3 linked regions of the Tribolium castaneum genome follow. The protein of the gene in region 2 purifies or fractionates together with the protein of the main gene of each other region. This does not show direct contact. Links are inferred from orthologs where the notes say so. Each region holds a gene or a part of one and is shown on either strand. Other genes may lie near its edges. The genes, in order: Vamp7, Syx17 and Snap29.

The links.
Region 1: the proteins of Syx17 (region 2) and Vamp7 purify together in Drosophila melanogaster (affinity purification with western blotting; 4 studies listed by BioGRID, with this or other methods). This does not show direct contact. The link is inferred for Tribolium castaneum from reciprocal best matches to the Drosophila melanogaster genes Syx17 and Vamp7.
Region 3: the proteins of Syx17 (region 2) and Snap29 purify together in Drosophila melanogaster (affinity purification with western blotting; 4 studies listed by BioGRID, with this or other methods). This does not show direct contact. The link is inferred for Tribolium castaneum from reciprocal best matches to the Drosophila melanogaster genes Syx17 and Snap29.

The regions. Positions count from the first base shown.
Region 1 is NC_087402.1:8,576,799-8,586,836, reverse strand, and holds Vamp7 (vesicle-associated membrane protein 7), read right to left. Parts: upstream 4,095-10,038; 5' UTR 3,903-4,094; intron 3,851-3,902; coding exon 3,647-3,850; intron 3,595-3,646; coding exon 3,366-3,594; intron 3,311-3,365; coding exon 3,243-3,310; intron 3,195-3,242; coding exon 3,030-3,194; 3' UTR 3,017-3,029; downstream 1-3,016. Other genes in the region: uncharacterized protein LOC103312779, read left to right, coding at 4,369-7,083; cyclin-dependent kinases regulatory subunit, read right to left, coding at 7,215-7,460; ATPase ASNA1 homolog, read left to right, coding at 7,777-7,886, 7,936-8,818; Arp10 (actin-related protein 10), read right to left, coding at 8,914-9,443, 9,497-9,573, 9,621-9,817, 9,863-10,038.
Region 2 is NC_087394.1:25,879,205-25,889,909, reverse strand, and holds Syx17 (syntaxin-17), read left to right. Parts: upstream 1-3,792; 5' UTR 3,793-3,898; coding exon 3,899-4,030; intron 4,031-4,114; coding exon 4,115-4,310; intron 4,311-4,366; coding exon 4,367-4,694; intron 4,695-5,160; coding exon 5,161-5,392; 3' UTR 5,393-5,588; downstream 5,589-10,705. Other genes in the region: dehydrogenase/reductase SDR family member 7, read left to right, coding at 7,221-7,383, 7,445-7,947, 7,995-8,114, 9,322-9,488, 9,539-9,608, 10,042-10,059; mRpS2 (small ribosomal subunit protein uS2m), read right to left, coding at 10,250-10,705.
Region 3 is NC_087401.1:16,862,461-16,872,304, reverse strand, and holds Snap29 (synaptosomal-associated protein 29), read right to left. Parts: upstream 4,324-9,844; 5' UTR 4,230-4,323; coding exon 3,483-4,229; 3' UTR 3,311-3,482; downstream 1-3,310. Other genes in the region: uncharacterized protein LOC135266932, read right to left, coding at 985-2,238; larval cuticle protein A2B, read right to left, coding at 4,396-4,926, 5,426-5,437; uncharacterized protein LOC100142142, read right to left, coding at 8,476-9,844.

The sequences.
Region 1 (10,038 bases), on a different chromosome or scaffold from region 2:
ATAATCACATCACGGAATTTTTTCGAGCTACGAATTATTTTGTTGAATTTTTGTAGCAAGGGTTGTTACTGCAACGCTAGCGGCTACATCACACAATTTCTGAACGTGTTGAGCACTCGTTTTACTCAGAATCGCGTAATTTTACATTTTAACGCTTCCAACACCGTCCACACTCAACTGATGCTCGGGTCTCTTTTATGTTGGAGCGGTAGCTGCTGCGGAGTCAACGACATAGCTATACATCCTACATAGAGTAGGGGGTGTGTACCTCTAGAGGGTAGACGTTGTGGGGTGAAAGCGTTGGGAGAGGATGCAGAGGGTTGAAGCATCGATTTTACTCGCAATTTCAGTGGATTCACCTTTTACTCAAACCGTGACACCGCGCTTGTTTGTAGTACAAGTTCATTCATGGGATTGGTATTGCGACATGGGCAGGACCATCATGGGCATGGGGAAAAATAAAAAACAGCTTTTTTCCAAATATGATCATTTGTTGTTCTTTTGGTATTTTTTCATTGCGTTTTGATCACAAATATAGTACCTTCCTATCTTTTATTAGAGGCGCAAATAGAACAAATCGACAATATTTTTGCCAGTTTAAAATAACAAACATTTGCGATGTGGAAAATGTAAGGTCAAATAAAACTAAAAAATATTTTTTTTTTGATAACAAAATAAGTACGAGTAGGTACTTATTCATTTTTGTTCATTTTATGGACGCTTATGAAAAAATTAAAATCGATAGTATTCGTCCAATAATTCCAAAACTACGAATGAGAGAACAAAAATGAGGACAGATCTGAAATCCTCAGGCAATTCTACGTTATATGGGATACTTTGGACATAAATTTGCGGTTATTGTGATCTTGACGATTTTTTTTGGTGGATACGCGGTAGAGAAACCTTTTTGTCCAAGTTGTTTTATTCAGATTATTTGCACAATTTTGACTCGAGTGATACAAAATTTTGCTCAGAAGTTGATAATTAACTAGGTCGTAAAAAAGACTAAAAGTCGTTTTACAAGTAGATTTCTTTTTTTCTCGTTGACTAGAAAAATTAAATTATGAAAAAAAATTTGGTTAAATATTGTAATATTGATGATTTTTTTTTGGTGGATAAATAAATAAAAATTTTGACAATGTTGTTTAAGTCGGATTATTTACACTGTTACTGCAAAGTTTTCCTCAAAAATGAAGGGCAAATCCCGGGAGAAAGTCTAGGGGTCCAGGACCCTCACAAACTTCAATTTTAATTTTTTTATAAATAAAAAAAGCCTAATGGTAAGGATAAATGTTTTTTTTAATAATAGCATTTATCAATAAATTGTTAATATATAAATTACTACTCATATACTTATAACTGATATATACAGACTGATCCAGAAATACTGAGTCTGTTGGCAACACTGGACTTAAATTTTTAAGGATACTAATGGAATACGCTTCCAGTTAACAACAATTTAACATTCTTGTGGGGTTGTACGTCAAATAATTGTCAAGAAAAATCGAATTCGGTTGCAATGTTATAAGTTACAAGCACAAATACTTTCAAATGTGTTGCCAACAGACTCAGTATTTCTGGATCAGTCTGTACTATGAAATACGTAGGAAGATTCCTGAAATTAATGTAAAACAAAGAAATTATATTTTATGTTTAAAATTTTTTTTACGTCCAGATTTTTTTATTACTTAAACTTATTTAAACAAGTGTAGATAAACATTCTCTGTTGTATTATATGTTAAAGTTTTTTTTATATTTTGAAAAAAAGTTTGTTTTTGTGAAAGAGATCCAATTCTTCCAAAAACTACAAGTAAAAAACATTATGATTAATAACCATGTACAGGGTGAGTCGATAATGGGTTATTTCTGAATTTTTGTTAATATGCAAATAATAATTCTAATTCCAGCAAACCAGACCAGTAATCATTAAAAAATTTCAAAATAATCCACGGTTACATTGTTCTGGGTATTGTCAATTTTGTTTTAATAGTTTTGCTAAAATTCCATTATGGACTATTATTATTTAAAAGATAAAAAACCACTGTTACTTCAATTCAAATGTAGAGTGTTTTATTTAAAAAAAAATATATATTTTTTTTATTTTAGCAATAAAAAAAATTGAGGCCTAATTTATTTTTAAATATTTTAACATACCGACAGAAAAAGTTTCATTCAATAGCTTAACCTCCCCAAATTACCCCCAAATCAATTTCTGTATGCCCCTGTCGGAAATAGGTAGGTAATTATAATTAATCATAATTAACAAATAAAAAGGACCTCACAATGTTTCTCTAATATTATATAGCTCATTTTATTATGTGAGAAACCTTTTTTTTGCATTTCCTTTCTTAAAGATTACTTTTACGTTTTTTAAATGTTATATCTCTTTTATAGCTTTTGTATTTCAATCTTTGAAAGCAGTAATTCTTATCACATGCCAATTTACGAGTATGGTCCGTTTCAGATCTTATTAGCAACAGCTGTCAGTTTTAAAAAATAATTTTCTCTTTGAATTATTGTTTTTTTTGGCTTTAAATTTGTCGTTGGGATTTTCTTTAACACAGAATCCTTTTCTTTTTTTGCAGAATCTCTAAATTTTTTTTTTAGTAAGACCTAATATGAGACATATCTACAAAAAGAATGCTCGAGTTGGCAAATCTAAATCTTTTTTTTAAGTGGTTCGACTAATGATAGCTTCTCCGTATCCAGTTGCTGAATAAGAAAATTCTTTAAATTTGTTACCAACTAAAACAATTATTCTTGATTTTTTTGTGTTTAATTCTTGAATTTTTTGAGACTTTTTAATACGTGATTAGATAAAAGACTAGAGGGAAAATAAAACAAGAGTATATTTTGTCTGCTTTATTCAAGTAACGATACCTTAACAATTACAAAATTATAAATTAACGAAGATAAACTACATAATTATAAAAGAATGTTTTTATCACTAATTTTGCGGAATCTTATTTACATAAAGATAAAACGGTACAGTGTTTAAGTAATGAATAAAGTAAAATATCTTAAAATTTTTATTTCTTAGCAATACAGCCCTGCCAGAGAAGCCCTCCGCAAGCCATGCAAACAATAAAATAAACAATCACAGTAATAATCACACCAATGATAACATAAAGCTTAACGTTTTTCCAAAACATGGAACGTGCCAGATTGCGACTTGTCTTCCTGAACGTCACAGACTGAAAAAAAGTTTCAGAAAAAAAAACAACTTTTTATTAAATACTCACCCCACTATTCAAATTTTCAGCTTTATTTACTAACAGTTCCAGCCTTTCTCCCCTCATCGCCACATTATCTTATCAATGAACGCAGTAATAAATATCACATACAAAATATTTATTCACACTCACCTATATTCTTGACCATAATATTTTTAAGTTCATCCAACTCTCCATGAACTCTTGAAATTGTATCCACATCATGGGATTCGGAATAATGTTTCATTTCGTTGGCTAGAACCCTGGAAAATTCAGAATTCATCGCATATGCAATCGCAGTCTGGATAGAGTCCCCATATTGGGACCTGAAACGCCTTTTAATTTCATTGAGAAATAAAAACGCCCGTGACCTCTCAAACTCCTGAAACAATGATGACAATACAACCAAGTATTTACGCGACATTCCACGTTACATCGTCAGTAATACACATGTAAATAACTTGGTTTTCACAAACATAGTGGAACAAATAGTTCCCGTGCGAGTACGTCAACTTATCATCATGTGGTGGTATTTTTCCGATGATCTGTTCAGTAACTTCAGCGAAATTCCCGGCGCAAGAGGCATATCGAACTAGAACGGTGCTTCCCCGAGATATTACACTATAAAGAATTGGCATCTATAATGAATAAACAATGTTAATTGATCCTAAACAGTTGGGACGTAATTACGTTTTATTTTTTCCGATTTACGTTGACACCTTCACATAAACGCCAAAAATGCCACACACGTAACAATGATAAAAACGCGCACAACGAACACAAATATCTTTGAATTAATTGGTATTATTATAAAAAATTGAGAACAATAACAAAAACGTCATGTGTCACACTGACGTTTGGTTTCAAAGTGCGCATGCGTCAGCGATGACTCAGTCGATGTTCTAAATACCACACCAGTGGCGTCCGTGCATTTTCAAAATTTCTCCAAAAAAATAATTTCATAGTAAAATTCGGCCACGATACCGAAAGTAACACCTTGGTTTAGTTTGAGTGAGATTTATTTGAATCAAATAAAACGTGTTACAAGCGTTGTTAGATGTTGTGGTTTTTGAAAATCGAGTGGCGCGTTGTCAAAGAATTCAAAAAATGTGGCCGAGCAAATAATTCCAATCATTTCAATTTCATGGCGCAAATTATGGAATTCCTGTTAAATTTATTGTTACTGCGTGGGAAGGTTTTAACCACAGCAGCGGCCGAGACACTCCACGAATATATCAAAAAATGTATGCACTTCAAGCGAAAAATTTCGACCGAATACAGCAACGCGACCCAAATAATCCCGTTTGAAAACATGTTGGAGTTTATCAACAACTCGAGCAAATACACCTGTGAGGGAGACGTTGTGACGAACGATCTCCGCTACTTGTACGAACACATAAACCGGGTAAAGCAAGAAAATGAGAAACATACACATACTGTTGCTTTGGTGCCGCAAACCGTTGATAAAAAATTGGAAGAGTTGCCGAAAAACCAAAATTTGAACACAGTCCCTGAATGGTTGCGCCGTGAACACACCAAAATTAACGAGTTTAAAGTGAAAAGTCAGGAACACATCATTGACAACTTGCACGCAATCCTCAAATCGCAAGAGTTTCTCTTCAAGAATATCATCAAACTGGTGAACATCCTCGAGAAGGATGCCCTCATCAACTCAAACAGCGAAAAACTGGACAAAATCAAGAGGAAACTTGTCGCATGCACTGATATTTTGTCAAACGCAGCCACTTCGCAACAATTCACAAGCCTCATCAATAAAATAATCGAAGAAGAGATCACGCGTTGTAGATTCAGGCACGGCGAAAGCAAAACCAGCGCTGAAATTAACTTAAAAGTGCCGAAACCTGAGGGAATCGAAGCTGCTTTGGACATGTCGCACAAGAACAACGACATCAGAAGAATGAAGAAACAACTAGCTGAGAAAATTGCAAAACCAAGCGTACAAAATAAACAGAATGAGCGTTTAAGGGGCCGTATTATTGACCTGGAAGTGAAAACAAACTCCGCCAAGTTACTAAAACGGGCGAGATCCGAGCCAGTTTTGAACGAAAACCGAAAATTGGAAACCATCTGGAAGAAAACACAGATTGAGATTGAAGAATCCAAAAAAGTGATACAAGTCAATGAAGACCGTTTCAAGAAATTTGAAAACACACTTTGGCACACCTTAACAACCATGAAATTTTTGTCGCTGAAAAGTGATTACGCAAATATGACTAAGTGTGCGTTCTATAATAAGAGACAGTTTGTGGCGACGGAAGCAACAATTTCGAAAAAAGTCCAAGGAGAGGAAAAGTTCGGCAAGTTTGTTAAGATAAGTAACTCCATGTTCCACATTACGGAAAAACGTCTGTCGTTTGAGGAGGGACAATTAGATGGTGTTGGGGACAGTGGAGGAGCAAATAATAAAAAGACAGAAGTGTCTAAAGACAAGATTTTTCCAAAAAAATCTGTTAGTAATGCTCCACCCGTGCTTATACAAAACCAGAAAAAAGACGAACAGGGCAATAATACCATTATTAATGGCAATGACATCAAAAAATTGGTTCAGAACCATTCCGCAAATGCCACTGTTGCGGTAGTTGTTGAAGGAGGTGACAAAAGTGTGATCAAGTCTCGAGAAATAGTACCAACGGAACGAGACAACAAACAAACTAACACAATTATTAGTGTTCATAATTTTATTAAGAAAACAGCCGACGTTTCTAAAAATGTTTCACCTTTAGATGCGATTAAGAAAGATGATCAGAAAACTATTCTGCAGAAAGAAGGAAAAAGTGACGCTTTAAATCCCATTATAACAGAAGATGAGAGAAAAACTACTCCACAGAAAAATCCACAAAAAACTGAGGAGCATCAAATTGTTAATGAACCAAAAATTGCTGTACCCGAAAAAATAGAAAGAATGAATCAACAAACAACAGATCAGCGTTTCGTACAGTCGTTAAGAAATTCGGACTTGAATAAGAAGCCTTGCAAAACAACTAGAAATGTTAAAATGAGGTTGAATGTCATCCTAAAAACGAAGGATTCTTTGGGATCAAAGCGCACTACAGCTCCACCTCCGTTAATTAAGAGTTCTAAAAAAGAATCGTTAGTTAACAATGTTGGAGCAAACACAAAACTCCAAACTATTGCCAGCGATAATTTAAAATTGTGCACTTTGAACGCAGTTTGTCCTAAAAAAGCTAAAAACGGAAGCAAAAAAGTGTCCATGCACGAATTTAAAAGCGAGGCTGATCTCATCCGTATGAACAATAAAGCATTTCAGGAACTAGAAACTACAATTAAAACGGTTCAGATTGTTAAACCAAATGGAAAAACACAAAATGTTAAGAAGCAGGAGAAAAAAAGTGTGTCTAGTGAAAATTTGGCTTCGATTATGAAACAGCGGAATGATATTAAACGCGAAATGAAATCCGAGGCGTCTTCGCGAGCTGGAGGTGATGAGAAAATAAGCCGCAAAAATAAGCGTGATTTGCATACAGAAGTCAAGCAACTGCCTAAAGAAAAATGTAAAACGTTTTTGAAAACTTCGAGGATAAAATCGTTCGTGAAACCAAACCCCAGTAATCAACAAATGCGCCGTACGACGAAAAATGCGATGAAGAGGCAGCAAGTTTTGACAATTTTACCCAAAGTTGCGAAAGAAATTAAAGAGAAAAAAAAGCCGCAAGTTCGTTTGGTTGAACCCGGGGAAATAAAAACCGTGAAAATGAAAGACAGTTATTGCGTGTCCAAAAAGTCAAGTTACGTGAAATTTTCTAAAAAAATTTTGCCCAACAAAAAAATTAATCAGACGAGTTGGGAAGAAGAGGATGGTTACAAGGTTGCCTCAGTGGTGGAAGACTAATCTGTTTAAGTCTTGTCTTGTGTAAAAACGTGCAAGTGAAATAAATTGGGTTTTGATAAAACATATTATTTATTTTTTACATAATAAAAAACTTAAACCTATTTCACACTTAACAAATTTGCACAAAGTCCTTACAAGCCATTTGAGTTACTTTGCGACAGCGGTCGCCTAAACAGTAAAATGTGTGGCTCAGGAGTGTGCAACATGTAATGTACCCAATTGGGGCTTTGTTGTACCCCCAAATTGCGCCATTCTGTTTCGGTCATTAGGTGGGCCCGGGGCACGAGTTTGGCCAAATCGGCGGGTAAAATAACGTGCCGGTACTCGTAGTGCTCGTCGGAGTACTTCTCCGAGTACAAAATGTTATTTACCGGCATTTTTACGCTACAAAATGATTTGTTTTGATTGACATAACCTCAAAACCGGCATTGAAAACGTACCAGTGCTGTAAAATGCTAAAATAATGTGCTGCTACTCGAAGCAAGCAGTTAATGCACTTTTTTAAATTCGTTAAACTCGTCACTGGTGGTTCAAAATTATTGTTAAATGATAATTTAACGTTATTGTTTGAATTACGCGAAATGAACGAACGCCACTGGAATACAGAGTGGCCACCTCAACCACGTAGATAAAAAGAAAAAAACTAGAGTCGAGGTGTCAAGTTTGAGGTTAACTCAAAAAACAGAATCAACAATGTCAGATTTTGAGCCCCTGGAGCCCTCGTTAAAGAATGTGATCGACCAGACGACCCTAAAATGGATTTTCGTCGGTGGCAAAGGCGGTGTGGGCAAAACCACTTGTAGGCAAGTTCTGTCACGTCACGGCGAGTTCAATATGTAACCCCCTTTCCAGTTGTAGCTTAGCAGTCCAACTGTCGAAAGTCCGCGAGTCTGTACTAATCATATCAACCGACCCGGCCCACAATATATCGGACGCCTTTGACCAAAAGTTCACAAAAGTGCCAACTCTTGTAAAAGGCTTTAACAATTTGTACGCCATGGAAATAGACCCGAACGTGGGTTTTAACGAGCTCCCGGACGAGTACTTCGACGGGGAGCCTGAAGCAATGAGGATGAGCAAGGGCATCATCCAGGAAATAATAGGCGCCTTCCCGGGCATAGACGAGGCCATGAGCTACGCAGAAGTTATGAAGTTAATCAAAAGTATGAATTTCTCGACCGTGGTGTTCGATACGGCCCCCACAGGGCACACCTTACGGCTCCTGTCGTTCCCTCAAGTTGTTGAGAAAGGTTTAGGGAAGTTGCTACGATTAAAATTGAAGATTTCGCCACTTGTGTCACAAATTAGCGGCCTTTTGGGCATTCAGGACTTTAACGCTGACACTCTCTCCTCGAAAATGGAGGAAATGCTGTCGGTCATTAAACAAGTTAATGAGCAGTTCAAAAATCCTGACCAGACCACGTTTGTCTGCGTGTGCATCGCAGAATTTCTGTCGCTTTATGAAACCGAACGACTGGTCCAGGAACTAACCAAATGCAAAATCGACACTCACAACATTATCGTCAATCAATTGCTATTTAAAAAACCCGACGAAAATCCGTGCAAAATGTGTCTAGCAAGGTTCAAAATCCAGGAGAAATATCTCGATCAGATTAATGACTTGTATGAGGACTTCCACGTCACTAAATTACCCTTACTGGAGAAGGAAGTCAGGGGCGGGGACAACGTTAAGGCTTTTTCCGAGTATTTAATACACCCATACACCCTTAATTAACTTATGTAACTTATGTTTTTGTGTTGAAATGCTTTATTATGGTTTTTTAGGTGATTAATAAAAAAACAAAATACAAACAATTTATTACAAAAAAATTAAAGAGTCCTATTATCCCTCATATTGGGCCAATCGGGTAAGCGATTCTCCAAGAAATACTTCTCCCGTGTTAAGGCCTTCATGCCTAAGACTTCCGTTGCCCCATAAATGCCCCCACCCAACCACGCGGCATAATTTTCCTTACAGGGTGGACTATGAAACTTGAACGTCTTAATTCTCAATTTCTTGTACCTCTCATATTTCAGTTGTTTGTGTAACTCGTCTTTCAGTCTTGCTTTAAATCCGGGGGCCATGACACTACCCCCAATTAAGAGAATGTTTTCAGCGAGTTGGTTCCTCAAATGCATATCAACTTTTAGTATAGCATCAAGGATCATGGTAGAGAGGCTCAAATGGTCGTTATCTTCATCGTACAAAATTTCGTAAACCTTTTCGCGCACTTTTCCCGAGATTGTTATCATGTCGGAGCCCCCGATGGGGTACTTGACCTCGGGGGCAAAAGTGATGTCAGGTTTTGCCAAACTAAATTGTTCGGCCCGTTTTTGTTTGGTCACGAAACAACAGCGCACTGAAACAAATTATGTGTAATTTTTGTGACGCTTTGTTTTGTTTTTTTTATACCTTTGATATCTTCAATGACTGTTTCGGGCAATTGATTGATTCCGGTATTTTCCGAGCTCAGTAAAGTCCGCAAGTTACTGAAATATTTTTTTTAATTTGATTTTTTTGTGTGTTAAATATTTACTTATGAATTGCTTGTGCCCCCAAAGGTAGGGCTTGCCAGGCGTGAATTACCGGCAGACCGAAACAAACAGGAATAGCAACGGCTTCGATGTAGCCAACATCTAGCACTAGTGCTGTTTCAGCCCCCAGGGTGGATAAACTTACTAAATGTGAAGGCACAATCAACATCATTGAAATTTCATAATGGACAAACAAAACCTACAAGGAATTACGTGAGCTATGTTAGGTGGCATCAAAACATACTTTAGCTAAGGTTTCTCTGAATAATGTCGGAGATAGAAGAGATTCAACAACCACGATTGGTTTGTCTTTGGGGCTAAACAACGCGTATTTGAAATACAAAGTGTGGATGAAATCCACAAGTAAATCATACAAATCTTGTTCATCTTTAAAATCAAAGATTCGCCGAACTTGATTCG
Region 2 (10,705 bases):
TCCACATAATTTCACACAGTGCACCGTGGTATCACGTTCATAATTCAAAATTAATGAAATTAAATAAATAAATGACTTAAATAAATAAAACACCCTATTTGTTTAGCTAATAATAAAGTAATGTTACACTTAAGCCTTTATTCGTCCTTTATTTCAATAAAATTACAAAAATTTTAATACTTTTCAACCCCAACAAGCAATCCATTGATGAAGTTTAACTGTATGTTTTTTTACAATGTGCTCTCGTATGATAAGCTAATAATCTTTGATAGCTACGTCCAAAAATGGAATAAACCATAGGAAAATAAAAAAAGTTTGTATTTGTAAGTAATTTCTGAAACATACAGAGTGTCCCTTTTTTGAACTCCACCACGGACCATGATGAGAATCACAGATAATATAAAGTTAAAGACTCAAGTTTGGTTTTTCTTATAGACCTCACATAAGCTTATTGTGCTTTTTAAAAGCGTTTTTATCCCTGATTACAACGATGTATCAGATGATATTTGATCAAAATGGAAAAAAGCACTTTTGCGAAGAGTGCTTTGGAAAAAACGCCAACAATTTTGTTTTCAATCAAACTAGATTTTGGAAGTTTAACTGAATTTCGATCTGGAAACTTTTCCGCATTTCCGCAAACCTTACTTACTTAAAAACTAAATCACATAATAAGCTAGAAGTTTATTCTTCGCAAAACAAAACAAGACAAAGTTATAAAAATACTGCTCGTATGTATATATTTAATTGAACTGATAAAATTTTGTTTGTTAAACTAAATTTTTGGCGTTTTTTCCAAAGCACTCTTTGAAAAAACGGTTTTTATTTAATTTTAACCAGCATATAAGATTCGACCACATCATGTGATACATCGTAATCAGAAACAAAAATACTTTTCAAAAATACAAATATCGTAGTTAAAATATCCTAATTAAAGAGGTAAAGCGTACAGGAAATCGGTTTACAAAATTGAAGAAATCAGAGAAAATCTTAAGTTAGGTAATCACTGAAAATCATTTTAGAATATTGGGAGAAATCTTGAGGAAATCTGGTGTAGAAAATTTAGGGTGCGGTTTAGCACTCGTTTCCAAATTAAAAAAAGCCTGAAACTTTTTTATCCTTATTGGATAATGAAGCTATTTTAATGTTTGTGTAATATTGTTTATTGGCAATTGTGTGTCGCATTGCGTAATATTGAGCCGTTTATAGCCCTCAGTATCCAATAATCGCCTTTCTTTATGCACCATTTGCATACAATCCAGCCACATATGCAAATCTCACAACCCGTTTTATGAATCTTTCAGTGCTTCAGTTTGAAACTGTCTTCTCGTTCTTTTCCATCCGAAACCACAAATAATATCAAGTCGTAAAAAAAGTAATTGACATGTTTACATTCCCACGCCTCGATCCCACGCACCTTAAGTATTTTTATCAAAATACATATTATCATCAATAACTTATTTACATTTTAATACGCTCGAACGCCCTCGCTCGAGCTACCGCCGATATTTACTTAGAAGATTTGTTTAAATGGATCACCAACAATGTCCACTTATTTTTATCGAGAAAACCGATCCGAACCACCAATTTACATCGCAGTAATTGAATTTCGTCGCAGTAATTTAAAGTTTGTGTGTAAATCCAGTTACCACACATCATTACCAGAGACTGTTTGTCACTTGTAAATACCCATGTAATTAAAATAAATCGCAGGCTTCGTGGGCTGATATCGATTCGCATCGAGATACCGAGGGATTTATTGAAAATTTTACGAAAAACAATGGCCGCTTTACCTCCCACAGATGTATTTATTTATGCATTTAATTCAACAAATGCCTCATAAATTCTTAAATGACAAGAAACCAACATATGGGGACATTCATGCAACATTTATACCATCATTAAAAAACTCAACTTATTCACGGAGGTCTTCTTTGTACGAGAACAGATAATAAGATTAAAAATTAATGGCGGCCGCTTGACCACAACCACTGTATTTATTTAGATTAAAAGATTAACAACAACTATTGTTAATTTGGCAACACTGACTATACACTGGTCAACATGACTTTTTTTAATACTATTCAAAACTATAAAACGCCAACGTTGCATTTTCACTCTAAATTAGCCGTTATAAATTATTCATGCACTTCAAAAAAATAATAGCTAATGTAGTTTCAATGAGAGATCTAGTCTCATCAGCTAATAGTAATAGTCTTTTGAACTTTTTTATGCAGATTCTAAAAATGTACACAAAAATTGGCCATCACGCCAGGTCTCTGAAAAAAATTATTTAATATTATAATAAAAAAATATATCAAATTTCACTGTATGGAAGCGAAGTTTTTTATTACAATGAATAAAAAAAAATGTTAACTGACAGATTATTATGTAAAATAGGGTCGTATCATTAAAAAAAACTGAGTTGTACCCCTTTTTTTAATAACCATTTTGGAAAAATCATACTAGCGTTAAACTTTGACAGTTAACAATTTTGAAAAATCAAGCAGGCTCTTCAAACATTCGGTTATCGAATGCAAAAAAATATTCACTTATCGCGAAAGAATCAAGAGCTGTGATATTTTAAATAAACCTCTGAAAATAAAAATTTTAAGAAACGAAATATATGTCAAAAACTATGACAGATAAGTATACATATATACCAATAACTTCGATAAATTTTACTCAATTTGAAAAAATGAATACAAAAATTTAATAAAAATGTGTGTTTACAATTTAAAATATCAAAGTTGGCGCGAATTTCTCATAGTTCCGAAAGCTCAGCCATTTTGAGAATAATTTAGTTGAATTAAACTCACAATTTTATTGATTTGGATTGTTTACAAACTTTTAACAAGCTGTATTAGAAATTGTTCTAACGTAGACCCTAAAAGAATCACTTGATTATGATGAAATTTTTAATAATAAAATTAATTTACTTATGTTGCCTTCTACAAAACCTGATGAGGTTGCAAAAAATGTTTTTATTATTATTATCCATTATTATGAAATAAAATTAATTTGGGTATTTGGGTATAATTTATAAAAAAAAATGTCGATCACATTTTCAATGTTGCCTCGTAATTTCAAATCGCAGGTCACTTGATGTTTGCGTTGATGAATAATTTCGAATAAATTCCTCTCTATCTGTTAATGAGTCGGCAAACCTGGGTGTTCCGACAGAATTGTAGTGGAGCGGCATCGTCACTCGCTTATTTTTCCGATAAATTAGCCATTATCGCGACTATTTCTGTTCTGCTATTATACAAGTCAGTTTTACTACGAAGAATCATGGGAATGATAATGTTTAAATTGATACAAATTCACTTAACGACTCAATCTTTTTATTTGTAATTATTTGAAAAATAAATTCCCGCTTAATTGGCCGAGTTTAATAAACCTGAACGAAGCATTTCGCATAAAATACCAAGAAAATCCGAAATCTCTAAGTGTTAAATTAAATTCGTTTTTCACTATTACCGATCCCAGAAGCTGATATTATCCTTGCCGCTGGAAATGTGTAGATGTAATCGACTTGATATAATTAGAGAGTAGTGATAATCAATTATACGAACAGATGATTACTGATTAGAATCGCCTCATACGCAAGATGTTATTAATTCCATTGAATTGAATTAAAAACTAGACGGAAATTAACAATAAAACCAACGCAAAGTTTAACGAACAAAAAAATTTGCCCCACCTTCCCCTAGCAAACTGCATTGAAGGCGGCGGGCGCGCAACGTAACACGTAGCGACATCTGATCGAAACACAGTCAAGCTTGACAGGTGCCGACTTTGCCGGCCCAAATGTCAACAAGCAAGTTTTTTGGTTAGAAACGTCAAAATTCTTTGTGCTACAACTCCATTATTTACAAATAAACACAGTAATGTGGTAACAATGTCGATTTTAAACACAAGTGTTACGAAACAACCCCTGAAACTGATCGAAGTGCCTTTAAATAAATTCAGTGAAGAAGTGATCCCTCACCACCAGAATATTTTCGAGCAGCACAAAACGCTAGTCCTCAAGGTAACATTTTGCCAAAATCGCAGTTAGGTTTATTTTTGGCACCAAATCAGAGATAACAAAGTTGTGAAAAAAATGTGATTACAGTTGATCTCGCAAAACAATGGCCAACGCGTCCGCCAAGAGGTGAAAAACAAAAAACGAATCGTAAAACAATTGAAAGACTTGATGTACGAACTGGATACTTTAAGGGCACAAGTCGAAGACTCCGATTTAGATAAATTCGACACCAAAACGCTATCATTTAGGAAAATTATCATCACCCTCATTTCGGGTTACACAGGTTGAGTTATTTTCAGACACCACTATTTTGTAAAATAAGTCAGTTTATTGGTTTAGATTTAGAGAAACGAAGTTTAGCATTAGACAACCAAAACCAGGACGATGAAGACGAGAAGAGACTCCTGCGTGAGCGGTGCCCCTTTGAGGGGGCGTCGCAAATCCAACTCCAAGACAACCTAGAGGACATCAAACTGAGACAACGACAAGAACTCCTAAACGAGGTGGAAACGGTTCAAAGAGACACTGAAGACTTGAACCAAATTTTCACCCATTTGAACCAAATGGTTGAAGGGCAAAGGGAGCAGGTCGAGCATGTTGAGGAAACGATTGAAGAGAGTAAAGAAAACGTGCAGTCGGGGTTTAAACAACTCGTCAAAGCCCACAAGTTTGTTTTGGCCCGTTTACAGCCTTCTTGATGGATGGGCAAGTGTTACTAACGTCAGTTTGACGTATTTAATGTCACTTTGACGTCAAAGCTTGTTATCTCATTATCAATTATGTATTTTTAAAGTATAATTAATTAAAAATAATGATGTGCTCTATAACTTGTGAGACGAAATGAGATATGAAATCGCAGGATTTTCTGAACTCATGAAATTCTAAAATTTTCTTCCTAACATTTTTCTTACATCTGTAAGTGTATTCGCAGCGTTTTGCTTCTAAAAAATTTTTTTAGTTTACGATAAAATTTTTGCATTGTGTTTATGAGAATTTACTGTTTTATCTGCCTGTATTTTTTGTTTACTATGCGTTAAAAATTATACAAAAACAATAATTTACAACCCGTAGTTCCATCCATCAATGAAGCGCTGTTAATTAAAATCAATTCAAGCCTGGAGTTATTTTTACAGATTGAAAACTGCCGTTTATCCAGTCACTGGTGCCTTCCTGGGGTCAATGATAGGGGGCCCTGTTGGTTTAGTGGCAGGGTTTAAAATCGGGGGTTTGACGGCTTTAGGGTGTGCGATAGCCGGGTATACAGGGGGGAAATTTTTCAAAAAAAATCACGAAGTGGAAGAAATTGAGGAGAAAAAGGAAGAGAGCGTGCAAATGGATGACAAACACGAGAAAAAGGATATATGACAGTGTGTTCTTTGTTAATTTATTTTAAATAAAAGACGTCTGACAAAGATAGGAAACTAACTATGGTAAAAAATCGAATCATGTTTATCATCTTTTCTTAGAAATAAATGTCAAATATCGTGAAATTTTTGTGTGATAATTTTTTAGGTATTACCTATTTGTAAGTGTAAATAGTTCAATAAATTGAATTCTAGAACTCGTGTTGTTTCATCAAAGATTTTTGTTCAGTTAAAACAACTTTGTCTTCAATAATAATGCTGAAACACTTATTACTCTTATTAGTATTACAGTAATAAAAACAGTTTCTTTGTATCTGCTCTCTAACTCAAGTTTTTTCATTTAAATTTGAATTTATGACTTTATAACTGTCTTTCGAGCATTTGGTCCAATATTACGATCAAATGGTTTTTTACTTTTAGCATTTTAAGTGACACTGAAAGAGTTTATTAAAATTTCCATAAGTTTTCGCGAAGTTCAAGAGAGAATTTGGAACAGAAATTAAGCGAAAAAGTAGTTAATTTTAAATTTTGTGGAAGATGTGTGTAAAATGTTCAATTATCTGTCAGTCTTTTGGTGATTTAGGGCCGGTTTATAGAAAGCTTTGTTAAAAGTTAACAACGCAAATGAATGGACCAATAACATTTGTTCAGTTTGGTCACCCATTTAATTGCGAATTAAATTAATGACGCTTCTCTAAACCGGTCCTTAGAGGGTTCAGTGATAAGAGGATTCTATGATGACTTGATGAGGGGCTGTTGTGACGTTACGACTTTTTCTTTCAAAGCGATTATCTTGCTTAATGTATATTTTCATTGCAGGAATTTTGAAAAGAACCTACTGGTATAGAACGAACGAAACTTTCAGTTTCCCGTTAAAACATAAAACACGTAAAATAAGTTGCCTCTAACAAGCATGACACTGCTTCGAGTTTTCTTAAAGACAACTGCCTACACTTTCATTACTTACCCGTTCCCGCATTTCTGGAGGGGCATTCACTGTAGGTCTATTCAGAATTTCAGTCATTTTGGCACAAAACACGCAAAAACACCGTTTTTATCACCCACAAACACGAGAAACCAAAAGGACGCGCACCGACAAGCGCACCACACGCAAATGCGTGACATCAAGGTAAAAAAACCCTATTGGTTTAAGCCGAAGGCGGGTGATTTGAAATTTGACAGCTTTTGAGGTTAATAATTTTGAAATATTGTAATTTAGATCTAAAACGATTTCAGAAACTGGTTTGGCTAAATTTGTTTCATTTTGTCAATTTCCGGCCCCAACACTCAAAATTATAGTCATCCGACGATTTTTTTAACTCAATTTTAGGATTTAAATCGACTTTTGGCTCCAGAACGAGCTAAAATTTTCTAAAATGGCGACAAATTTTGGCCAGTTTCGGCAAAAACGTCTAAACAAAATGAATTTCTTGCCGAAAAACGACCTGAATCGCTCACTAAAAATTGGGGGTGACGATTTTTTGGCTTGTTCAAGCTACTTAAAAAACACATTTCTCTCCAATTTGCCATTTCCTCATGTCATTTATTAAAAAAATAGTGTATTTATTGTTTACACGGCCAGTAAAAGAATGTGTTTCAAATAAATTACCATAAAACACCTGTTATTTCCAACCTTTGCCCCTCCATTTTTTATAGCTTATTTTCTCCATTTCTATCAGTGTAAAAGTCACCTTGACCCCGTTATATCGCCCCCCGGCTCTCCCACTTTTACTTTTATTGCCTCAGTCGCGTTCCAGCCACAACAAACAAACAATAATCGTGTGATAACACCGATAAGTGATTTTTTTAACCAAAAACAAATTGTGGTTATGTCTTCAACAGTGCAAAAGTATTTCGAAAAATACGGAATGGCCGTTCTAGAAACGATAGGTGCCGGTGTTTTAACCTACGGTTTATTCTATTTAATGGCTCTGTGTTTCGTCGATTGTGACCTAGAGCTAGCTTTCTACTCGATATTTGGGAAGTCCCCACGTATGTGAATTATTTATTAACTAAACTGAGACCAGTGACAATTTTCATGAACATTTTTCAGGAAAACTGAAGGGCAAAGTGGTCTTCATCACAGGCGCCTCCAGCGGCATTGGCGAACACACGGCCAAAGCCCTAGCCAAACACGGCGTCCGCCTAGTGCTCACCGCTCGACGCCAAAGCGAATTAGAACGCGTTAAAATTGAATGCCTCCACCTATCCAAAAACCAACTCTCTGATAAAGACATCCTGGTGATCCCCTTCGACATCACCGACTTGTCCGCCCACAAGCGGGTCTTCCAGCAGGCCTTGAACCACTTCGGCACCGTGCATGTCCTGGTGAACAACGCGGGGCGCTCGCAGAGGGCCCTCTTCGAGTACATTGACATGTCCGTCGACAAGCAAATGTTCGACTTGAACGTGTTCGCAGTCGTCAATTTGACCAGAATTGCAATCAACCATTTCAACGAGAAGGGCTCTGGTCATGTCGCTGTGGTCTCGAGTCTTGCGGGGGTTTTCGGAGCCCCCTATTCGGCCACTTACACGGCCACCAAACACGCAATTCATGTAAAATTACAGTTTCGTGTATTTTGTGCCTGACTGTGGTTTTGTAGGGATACTTTGATGCCCTCAGGATTGAGAAAATGGACAAAAATATCGCAGTGACGCTCCTATGTCCTGGGCCCACTCTGACTAATTTTTTACAGGAGAGCTTCACAGAACGAGACGGTCAGGTATAAATTTTTTAGAATTGTATTCAAAAACGAGTGAAATAACACCAATTTATGGTGATTTCCTGCTTGTTTTTATTTCAACAAAAACGTCATTAATTTGATAGGCTCACTTCGTTCCATAGTGCCGTTCTTATTATAATGGAACTCGGTTACAACGAACACCCAAAGGACTTCGGAAAGCGAGGTTCATTTGTACGTTAAAACCGAACCAACTTGTTACTATAATATAGGACTTTAAAAGGAGACATTCAATTTTATTCGTTATATCCGGGTTCATTATAACTGAGTTCCACTGTATTTTAAACAGCTTCTACATTCCCTCTTGGATTCTATCTTAATTTTTTCAAAATTCTTAGCTACCTTCGTTTAAAATGTATCCAGATTATTTTCTAGCATTGATTCTGTGCTTATCGCTATTTTTTTTTTAAATTCTTCACTTGAAGCTGTTTCTAGCTCTGAAATCTGGAGCCTTTTGTATTATTTTAGAAACTCATCTTTAAATTCTTTCTCTTACAGATTACTTTGTCATCTTTTCAAAAACCTTCGATAGTTCCATTTAGAATTTTTTAGATTATGTTTCTGTACTCTTCTTTAGATTCTCCTATAGCATTATTACTTCGTAAACTGTATTCAAAAATTATTTTTCAAACATTTTTTCCATTTGCCATTTTAAATTCCACTCTTGCCGTTTATTATTCTATTATTCTCTGAATTTTAAATTTACTTTTTAACGTATGGTTAATAATTTAATATGAAAGTATGAATGTATGAAAGGTTTTTTATCTCTTTTTACATAAGCCGTGACTTCGTGAAAAATGTGTAGGTATTTGTTGAATTTGGACATGATTTTGTATAGAATTAACAATTCAGAGTTAGCAGCAATTGATGTTCTTTACTTTGAATCAATGTAATGAAAATTATTTTAATTTATTATTTTTCAATGTTAACCGAAAATTTGGAAAATATTCTGTTGACATCGTCATAACCGATGTTACCAGCCCCTTATTATAAAGTCACATAAATAAATAGTTACAGGGTCCCTCACAACGACAATCTGCATAGTTACAATTTCTTTTTTTTTTGTAAATATCCATTAACCATCCATTAACATTTGCATATTTTAATTTTAGACAAATTAATTAACAATGAACTGTGCAATGAATTATGTGGGCCCCTCTAATTGTAATTTATTTCATTTTTTGAGCAGAAATACGGGATTCCGGCCGATAGGAAAGACAGGAGAATGACAGGGGAGAGGTGTGGGCAATTGTGTGCCATTGCGTTGGCCAATAGGACGCAAGAATCCTGGATGGGGCTCTTTCCCATGATGCCTTTCGTCTACACTGCTGTATACTTCCCAACAATTTCAAAAATGTACACAAAAAAATTATTATTTGGCATTCGATTGATTTGTGTGCTTTCAGGGCTTTGGGTCTATTGGGGCCCCGCCGACTATTCAAAATGAGAGACAGCAAAGATATTCAGTTTGATCAGGTAGAAAATATCGTCTAAGGGCGCCACATGGCCTTGCATTGTTGTTTTTATTGTTTGTTTAAGTATTATTGTGCTTAATAGAGTGTAACATGCAAAAATGTGTCTGATTGCTTAATTACTTATTTCGTTGTTAATTTATTGTTATAATAACACGCAATCAGGTTTTTCCATTATTATTAAGACTGAAATTGTGTTTAATGTATTTATTTTTATTTACGTTTTATGTACATTTTTATCATCTTCATTAGGTAAGTTTTATTTGCTTGAAAATCAACTTGAATTTTATAATATTATCATACAGGGTGGGTGAGTCACTGAATTTAAAACTGCGCGGTCTGTACTTCCATAGCAATAACCAATCACAAAGTCCGGTCGCATGATTCGTGACTCACCCTGTATGTTGTTACAATTTTTTCAACCAATTTTTTTCCAGGGTAAGCGAAAACTATGAAGTGGTGGTGGACTGCACATTCTTTTGCTAACATTTTTTCCTATTTCTGCGACTAACAAATGGCAAAAAATTGAATAACTGGTGGCGGTATTACTTGGTTCTTGTATTATATTTAACGTAAATACTCCTCAAACTCGTTAGGTGTTAAGAAACGTGATTTATTTACCTACATTTGTACAATAAACGCCAATTACAGTTGCATGTCTTTTTTCCTCCTCTCCTTGCCCCTCAAAATAGCCGCCTTGAACAACTTGCAATACAGCTCAATACTAGCAGGGGAATCGTCATTTCCGGGCACCGGATACGTCAACAAATTGGGATCACAGTTCGAGTCAACAATCCCAATGGTGGCAATCCCCATTTTGGCCGAATCCCTGACTGCTGTATGTTGCAACAAGACATTGTTCAAAGTGTTTAGAAAAATGCACAAATCGGGCAATCTGGTCACAGCCCCAAATTGTTTCGTCGAATTCGTGAAAATGCCGCCCCTCCAGAACCTCGTATGTGCAAATTCGCCACACTCTTGTGCCGTTTTCTCCACCAAATGAGAATTCTGAGCTCCTCTCAACAGAAATAATATTATACCGTCTCGATACGCGATGTGTGCAGCGAAATTAAGCGCTCGGCGTAAATAATCGGCCGTTTT
Region 3 (9,844 bases), on a different chromosome or scaffold from region 2:
ATTTCTGTAAATTTTTTGCAGAAATGTGGGTTGGCTACATTGGCTTGGCCATAACCCAGTCCACCTCCCTGGTGGGCTTAATCCAATACGGTACCAAAACCTGGAGCGAACTCGACTCCCAGATGACTTCAGTTGAACGTGTGGTCGAATACGCGGAACTGGAGCCCGAAAAAGACGATGGTACCACGGTACCATCGGACTTGTGGCCCAACAATGGTCGCATCCTCTTCGACGACGTGACCATGAAGTACCCTCTAAGCAACACAACGGTACTCAAAAGCGTCACATTCAACATCAACCCAGGCGAGAAAATCGGAATTGTTGGCCGGACAGGCGCTGGCAAAAGTAGTTTAATTTCGGTACTTTTCCGCCTGTTTCACTTCGATGGTACTGTTTTGATCGACGGTGCTGACACTAAAACGCTCCCATTGTCGATTTTGCGCTCAAAAATCGCGATAATTCCACAAGATCCGGTGCTTTTTTTGGGCTCTTTGCGCCAAAATCTGGACCCGTTTGAGCAATTCAGCGACAGTCAGTTGTGGTCGTCACTTGAAGAGGTTGAACTTAAGGAAATGGTGACGAATTGGGCGCAAGGTCTTGAAACTACGATTTTGGAGGGCGGGGCTAATGTTAGTGTGGGCCAGAGGCAACTTTTGTGCCTAGTCCGGGCCATTTTGCGCAACTCAAAAATCATAGTTTTGGACGAAGCGACCGCAAATGTTGACTTGAAAACCGACGAAGTTATCCAGAAAGTTGTAAGGAGGAAGTTTCGGAATTGTACGGTTCTGACCATCGCCCATCGGTTGAACACCATCATGGACTCGGACAAGATCCTGGTGATGGATGCTGGGACGGTGGCCGAGTTTGGCCCACCTGCCCAACTTTTGAAGAACGAAAATGGGTTGTTTTATGGGTTTGTTCAAACGAGTGGGAAAAAATAATTATTTATTAAAAAAAAATTATACAGTCGAGAGTATTATTTTTTCAAGTCCTGAATTGTGCCAGAACGATGACGAAAGCCACTATAGTTTCCAAAACGTCCAAAATTGTTGATTTGTCCAAAACAAAAAAATTTGCAGCTGTGATTTTAATCTCGGTTTTTCGGATCAAACTGACGATTTCTGGCGATTTTCCAAAACTCGGATCCATTTCGTACGTGAGTTTGATGATTTTTTTGCGCTCTTCTAACATGTTGTCGACCTTCTGCACAAATTCAGCCGTATGAATGGCTTCAGACGGCAGAATATGTGCAAAAGAGACGAAGGTTTCGATAGCAGCAGCCACAGAGCTGCTAAGCTGTGCAGCGGCTACCTTCACCTTCATTTTCATGTAAGAGTCTTTGAAATTAAAATACTCCTTCTTTAATTTGGGCAACGATTTAAAAGTTTTTTGTTGAATTTTGCATTTCAATAATGCATTTCGCGTGTTTTTTAAAAGATGCGACACGTCGAAAATTGTAACAATCGGCTGATTATTAATGAAGAAATAATATGAACCTTGCCTGGGATGTTGTTTGGCATAAAGCTGATTCAACGCGGAAACATTTGTAGTGCCCTGATCACAAACAGTAGCGACTACCGTTAAACCGATGTTCTGAAGTTGTGAAATTATTTCTTCAATAAGAAACTTTAGATTGTTCGCGCTAACTGTATTTGCCGTAAAGTAATAAGCAATTACTTGTTTCCACTGGAGTCTCAACCTTCGGATCATAAAAACAAGAGCATGGTTGACTGCTTTGTTAGTGCGACCCAAGGAGCCCATGTCCTCGTAACCACTGTTTAGCTCGTTCATAATGAAATCCTTGACAAACCGACATCTCATCAAACAATAACGATCTGCATGTTTCATTTTTGAGACGTGATTTTTCAGGTGTTCCAAAATACCTGGATTAATACCAGTATCGAACTGAATCTTAGCTAAAATGGCTTTCAGTGTGCGGGAAGAGGGTAATTGAAAATGGACTTGCAAATACTTATACAATCTCGGACTTCTCTTGTACAAAGATAAAGCAAAAGCTTTATCCTCGTCTGTCCATCTGCGCGCGGTCGGTTGACAGGAAACATTTCGCAATTGTGAATTAATGAAAGCCTTAGTGACTTCATTCAAATTTTCGGTGATGAACTCGAATTTTCCGGCATCGTACAATTTTTGCAAAGTCTTCACCTTACCCTTTTCCTTTTCTAATGTTTTGCTCAATCTACACAACCTCGACTGAATGTTTCGGTGAGCTTTGTACATCAGCTCTTTTCGCGGTGTCAAATCTTTGGAAGAACAGCCAATTTTAGTTAGAATACCGTCTCTACCTTGATTATCCAGAAACGCGAATTTGTTTACATTAAATGAGGTTTCATTATGATTCTCTAAACAGCTGCTGTTCGAAATGGTGGAATCTGAATTGTTTATTACTTCACTACTTTGCGAATGAGAGGAACTGCATAATTCATTATATGCCAAATTTACAAAAGATGACGTTGAAGGTGATTCAACAGACAAAGAACCAACAACATTTACATTTTCCTCAGACAAAGCAGATGAAGAAGGATCTTCAAATATTTTGCTTTGTTGATCTGGATGTGGCAGATCCTCAAGTAAATGAATGTCAGATGGTTCAGTGGGAACGAGTGTACTGCTCTGAAATTTAGACGATCTTTCCTCTCATTCACAAAAGCAGATTCGTCAAAATGATCCTCACAAATTCTAAAAAAATCTGAATTTTTGGAACTTATCTTGCAAATGTTCCTCCATTGTTGATGCTGCGTAGGGTCTTTTGGAAACACAAAAAAGTGCTTGTTCACAAAGCCCTCTGGAGTGTTGATGTATAGTACCAGTTGTTGCAGCCTGGATACTTGCAGCAGTACTTCTTTCGAGGAACAACATAACTTTGTTAATTTAATTTAAGTCCTGCTCGTCACTTCACCCCATGAGAACGTTATTCGTCTCTAAAAATACATCAAAACTGAATTAATACAGTTACAAATCAGTTTTATTTTTACTTACATCCCCTGGAACTCCTTTTCTGACCCTTATTCACGAAAAAACAACAGTGAGAAACAATTGAAACACAATTGCTCTTGCGCAAACGAATCTTATTGGCTGTTTGGGAAAAGAAGCTTGGAGCACGCGCTATACACCCGCTGTTTGACCCCTCTTTCCCCGACCCTAGGAGGTGGCCCACATACTTTCGTGTTTCCACTTATGCAACCCCAGTTTCATACCCGTGGCTGTCAGCAGAGAATAGGCTGTCAGTGTGGTGTGACAATGTCGGTAAAACAGAACACTGTGGGAAGGGGGGGCGTTTAAATCAGTTCAGTTCATTATTAAAGAATTTATTCACATAATAATGCAATCATAACAACAATCGATAGATCCATTTACGCTCCAAATATACAAATAATTACTAATCAACTAAACAGAGAGTATTACAATCAATTACAAGACAGAAAAGTGCAACATTTTGATTTCCGCTTTAAAAACTAAAAACACTAGGATTTTTTCAATATTCTCATCATATCTTTGTTCTGCTTGGTGATGGTCATATCAGCCGTCTCCGCCTTATCAGTAATGGTGCTAATCAAGTCATTTTGCGAGTCAATCTCGAACGACAAATCCGTGGCTAAATTTTTCAAGCGTGATATATTTGAACACATTTCTTGCAAATTGGCGTCCAGTTTCGCACTAAAATCCTTACTCCCTGACGTTTGCCCCGCATTATTATAATCCAAGTTTTTCAACCTGGTTGAGGGATGATTCTCGAAGCGGTCATAAGTCGACAACTTTTGCTCGAACTCTTTGTGCAAATCTTCAGACTCTGATTTAGTTGTCTTTGACGGGGGGCTCGGACTTGCGTCGTTTTTCCCCGCCATGTAGTTCTTCAAACTGTTGAAAACCGACTTGATCCCGTTGATATGCTTCTGGGAGAATCTCAAAGTCGCGTTGATTTCATCCAATTGCTTATCAGTTTTCTCCAACTTCTCTCTTTGCCTCATCAATTCTTCGGCTGTGGCGATGCCAATTTGTTCGGAATCGCGCAAAATACTCAAACTTTTCTCCGTGCTGTTGATGGTGCGGTCTTCGATGGCCCGTTTGCGCTCCTGGAAGGACTGCAACTGGTCGTCGAAAGACGCCTGGGGGCCCCCTTGCGACCGACGCGAGTTGCGCAAAAACAGCTCATCGTCGACGTCGTCGTCGTTCTCGAACGGGTTAGTGGACCTGGCGTAGGGATTCGACATTTGGGGGGCGGAATATCACAATAAATAAAAACACAAAAGTTGCAATTTTGACATTTGTTATTGACACTGACGTGGGGATTTTCTTGCTTGAGTTAGTAACATCACAGTTAGTGTAGGCAACCAACAATACACCTTGCTCAAAAAACTTTATTCGCAATTAAACAATTCAATAAATGGGCTTTTCGGTGCCCCCTTGCGCCTCCTGCGCCGCCGCCAGCCTGGCATGCTCCTCTGCGATTTTCTGGAACAGCTTGAAATGCTTGTCCTTGGCGCGGCTCACCGCCACCGAGTCGACTGGCACCACGACCGTCCCGGGGGCGGCATGCCTGGCGTTGGCGATGTTTGCGAACTGCACGAGATGGCGGTGCTTGGCCGCCGCCACCACCGGCGTGTCGGATGGGAGCGGCTCTGGCGCGAAATTCAAAACCGGGTGAAAGCCGTTCTTATCGGCCGTGTACTCAACAGTGCGGATCTTAAACCGGGGATCCACATACGAGTACGAGCCTTGGACCACCCCCGAACCGTCGGAAACCTCCGAATGCGTCCGGTCGATGTGGCCGGGGAAACGACCGGCGGCGTAACCAAAAGCGTACGGCTTTGGGGGCGGCGGCGGTGTTGACGGCTCGGTTTGCTGGACGTGCACCAAGTGGGCGACGTCGCACGCCGCCCCCGAGGTCAGCGCCAACAGGGCCAAAAACTGGGGATTTTAACAATCAAATTGTGGGGTTGGCAGGACTTTTAATTAAAATATCAAGCCCGGTTTAGGGGAGTCGTAACAATAAAACGGTTTATTTTTCGTGAGGTTTACGATTAGTGGCAATTGTTTACGTCTCAGCCAACTGGGCTAATAATTATTAATCCGGTAATTCCCCCGAATGGATTCACATGACTGTTGGTAGTAAACATACGCGACATTTCTAATCGAGGCGGCCTCGGTCATTAATCCAAACTTTATGACGTCGTCATTGTAAATTTCTAAGTTGGCAGCGTTGAAACGTGATAACTAACAGTGTCACCAATCGTAAATCACTAAATCACGCAACTCAATTTCCCCAAATTTAGAATGCGCCTAAACTTTGGGAAATATTTACGCCAATAACTTTTGATTAATCGTCTTGGGAATGAATAGAGAATGAAAGTGGGACAAGGCGATTGCCGGAGGCTTGAGATTTCACAAAAATTCGGCAAAAACTCACCGTTCTATTCATTGTATTGCGTTTTTTTTGTCAAACACACCGATGCACTTCTTGTCGTTGTGGCAAAATGACTAAAATCAGATTTGCGTTTTGAGTGAAAGTTGGTAAATTGCGTCACTCACACAATCTCGTGACTGAGAAACAACACACGGACACACAAACGTGTTTGTGATTTCTTTTTCATTTTGCGATGAATTTATTCTTAAACGGAGAAAAGTCAAGGCCGTGAAGATGATACTGGAATGATCTCATGCCTGACTTAATTTGCGTTGGTACGACTGGTCTTGAATTGGCCACGCCCATCAATATATTTCTATTTACCCAAAATAAATTTGAAACTAGTAAATAATTACATGTTATCCTCCCTCATTATTATAATTTATAAACTGCAAATAATTAATGTCTGCTGCAGAGTTCCGTTCGAGCGCTAATTCGTTAATATCAGATAAAATAATCAACAAACACATTGTTTATTTAACATTTGGACGAGCTTTGCCGATTGGAATTAATTACAACAAAAAACAATACACAATAAAAACAGCAATCGGTAGTACATTGTGGATTAAATCGGGTTATTCAAATAATGTTTGCAATTGTCAATATTACCAGAAACATTTTACTGAAAGTAATACAATTGGCGCACTCGCTACGTTCGTTATTGGTTATGCAACCAACAATACTATAGGGCCAATAAATCACCCTCCGGATCTTTTCTTCGCTTCCCTTGGAACAAAAAAGGTTATCCTCCGGCCATAAATTCATTTAGTCGGGTAATAATAGCAATAATCAGGCATTCCCGTAATCGGATCGCTTTTCGGGTCAAAGACGTACAACTCGTACATAAATTCCGCAGATTTGGGTAAACCCCCGAGGTCGTCAATTATTAATGAAAGTGGCAGAAAATCAAATTTTTTAAATTTCCCGGCCCGAAGTGGGCGTGGTTACGCAATCACAGAATTTCATTTCAATTTTTCTTCGTTTTCTTTGGGAAAACCACCTCTAGACATGAGGAAAAAAACAAATTGCACCCTTTTTAAGGCGAAGCCGTGACACATCCATTAATTCTCCGTCCAGATCCTCGCATTTATCAAACTTAGAGCCACGACACAACGATGGCGCTTTATGATTTTCGAAACGTATTCGTCCATTTGTTTCGGAACGTGACCGATAACGAAATGGAACGGATTAACCTATGCTTTAAATCGATGATCTTTATCGCGACTTGCAAATTTCGCCGACTTTAACGGCGACGACGTGTGATATTATGGCCGGAATAAATTTTCCAAAACGTTGCCTACTTGGGATACGAATCTATTCGCCCAACTGGTTGCCTATACGCTGAAATATCGACGTATTCAGCTGTAATTACGTGGAATAATAGCAATCGTTTCATTGTTTGCTTTTCTTATTCAAAGCCTCCGACATTGTCTGTTTTGTAAAACACACACAACAACGATTTTAACTGTTCATGTCAGTGTAATTACGTTTAATTATTTCAGCTATTAATGTAAAGCAACCCACAATGCACCTTTGTATAATTAGTTACATAAACTGGCAGGATTAAGTGAAAGGGATTGGATTAATTGAATCCAAGCTTAGACATAGTTTATATTTTACAATAATATAATACAATAGAAGTCGATTCGTATAAATAAAGCGATGACTTTACGAAATGTATTTTTCATCAGTTTTGTACATTTGGAAAATCACCAGATTCACTTATATCTTGTAGTTTATTTGTTTAAAATAACATTTGTGTGACACCAAAAATCAAAAAATGTTATTCTCTCTATACTAATACAAGTAGAGGCGTTATAGAAATACTGGCAAAAAACGTCAGAATTACTGGTATAAGTACGTCACTTAGGAACATTATAAAGTAAAGAGTGGCAAGTAACGAGGAATGTATAAAAATCAAGTCTTTTGTGAGAAAGGAAACCTAATAATAAATACTGTGAACGTAAAAAAATAATACTGAACATAATGTACAAAAATAATAATTCTTCTTCCTTAACTCTTACTACGTTATTAAAAAACCCAGCAGTTAAAAATGGCAAGGCTAAATATTGGCTTAGATACATATATACAAACAAAACACATCTACATATTTGTGACACGTCGCCGGAAAAGACGCCCTCTGGCGAGCGATTTTTCCGCCGCCTATTTTGGTCATTAGGACGGTAATTTCTCGTGTATTTAGCCCGAACGATAATAAATAACATGAATTCAGTCCGTTCATCTAAACTAACTAAAAATATACAGGGGACGAAACAATTCGGAGAAGAGTTTTGAGAAAATCGGGTCATAGTAGCTGCCGTTCTTTTTGTTTGTTGTCAACACGAACACCCTGTATCTTATCAAAAATTATATAAAAAATTAAAATTATATATAGTCACTTAACATTATAAATATGTACACTTTTGCAAATTCATTTTTATACACTGCTACTTTATCATCGTAAAGTATTATAATCGTACATACACTATAATCTAACAATTAGTGGATTTTTACTTTATTAGGTTTGTCCTCGTGAGGGACCGCGTTCACACGTGTGACTGTCATGGCTAAGTTTTTTAAAACGTCAAAAGCGAAAGTGGGTTTTGATTAGGCCGAACCGTCTATCGGGGGCGGCGGGGGTAGTGAGCTCTAATTAACGGAATTATTGCTAAAATCACACGAAACGGGGCTATCTAGTACCCTGCGCTTCCAAACGTCACGAAATGAGTATTATCAATAAATAACTAGGTATAGTTAGGTCGTTGTTTAATGTCTTTCAAGTGTTTCACTCCAAATTTCTTCAATAAAATTAAGTAGACATGCCATCATGAGTGTGTTTAACCATAATTGCAGCTTAAAACTCGTTTTCTCTCAAAGATTTGGTTAGTTGGTCGTGGCCCCACGTTGGGCGCCACAGCCCAATTTAACCCGGCATCCATTTTTTGCACTGACAACTCCAAAAATCATCAAAATGTATCGAAATTTGTACTTTTTTTCTAATTGCAATTCGCCCCCTCGGCTCACTACCCTTTAGTCCGACTCAGCCCCGAATTTCACGCATCACTAAAATGCCCCTGACTCGGTTTCTCCTCCTGCATGTGCCTAAATCTGACGAAACCTTGTTCGTCCACCAGCATGGAATCCTGGTGGTTCGGCAAGGTTTGCACCCCGAGATGGGGTCGAGCATGGTTTTTACGCGTCCGACCAGTCGATCTCCTCCCGGACGTATTCGACGAATTCCGACTCCTTCTATCGAAATCCCCGCGTTCGAAATCATGCCGCGTCCTTTCGTACTGGTGATTATCCACCGGTTCGCTATAGATATTACGTTCTTGCGCCCCGCCTTCATCGTCATACTTCGGCTTCGTGTAGTACTTTGCCGAATTCAACCGCGCCGAACTTCGGCCGAAGTTCGCCTCGTGGTTATTCGGACGCGAATCGAACCGATCGGACCAATTCGGGCGTTCGAAACGGTCGAAATTGCTAGTGCGTTCCGAATCGGAATGGTAACGTTCTAGGGTTGATTTCTTATCGAAGGAGTCGTTTTGAAAGGCGGTTTTTAACAAATTGGGACGTTCGACTGGTTCGGTTGGTATGTTGTCCATAATCATCTCGTTCCGGCTGTAGTTAAGCGCGTTGGGGTTGGTATTACAATTGTTAGGGTATATGTTATCAGTGCTTGAGTCGCTGGTCGTGCACGGGAAGAGGGGGAATCCCCCGGTTTGCTTCTCGCGTTGCGACATTTTCAAGCTCACCACGATTGCCAAAAGGGTGATTATTGAAATTTCGAGGAAACGGACCGAAAGTTCGAAACCCCACAAAATCCAATGGTGTTTAGTCTCATCATTGAATCGGTCGATTTTAATGAAGAACAATGCATACAATTGGACGAAGCCCAAAAGTATGAAAAGTAGCGCCACTGCGATTGTTATATGCGACGCATATGAGATGTTCTGTGTGCACATCTCGGACAAGTTCTGGCTTTTCTTGGCCAAGACGTTTTTAATGATTCGGTACAAGTACAAGTAACTAAAACCGAGCGCCCATGACAGGAGGACGAAAACCGGTCGACAGACAATGAGACTGGCCTTTTCAAAATGGCCGAAACTCTCAAACGTGCTCAAACATATACATAGAACTATATGTAAGAGTGCGAACACGACGAGAAAAACCGGTCGCGTCTTGACTTCCAAATGCGTCAGCGTCCGTTTGAGGAGGAAAAGGATCAAAACGGCGAACGTCGTTGCTAGAAGCGACAAAGGGAACGAATGCAAGAACTCATATAGGAAAATATTGAACGATTTATTGACGTTGTACGGATCATAGGTGAGGTAGAAAATCCTCAGCACACAAATCACCGTCAACATCAAATGAATCGTCAGGAAATAGCTCTTCGAGAACATATGAGGGTCGTTCTCGTAC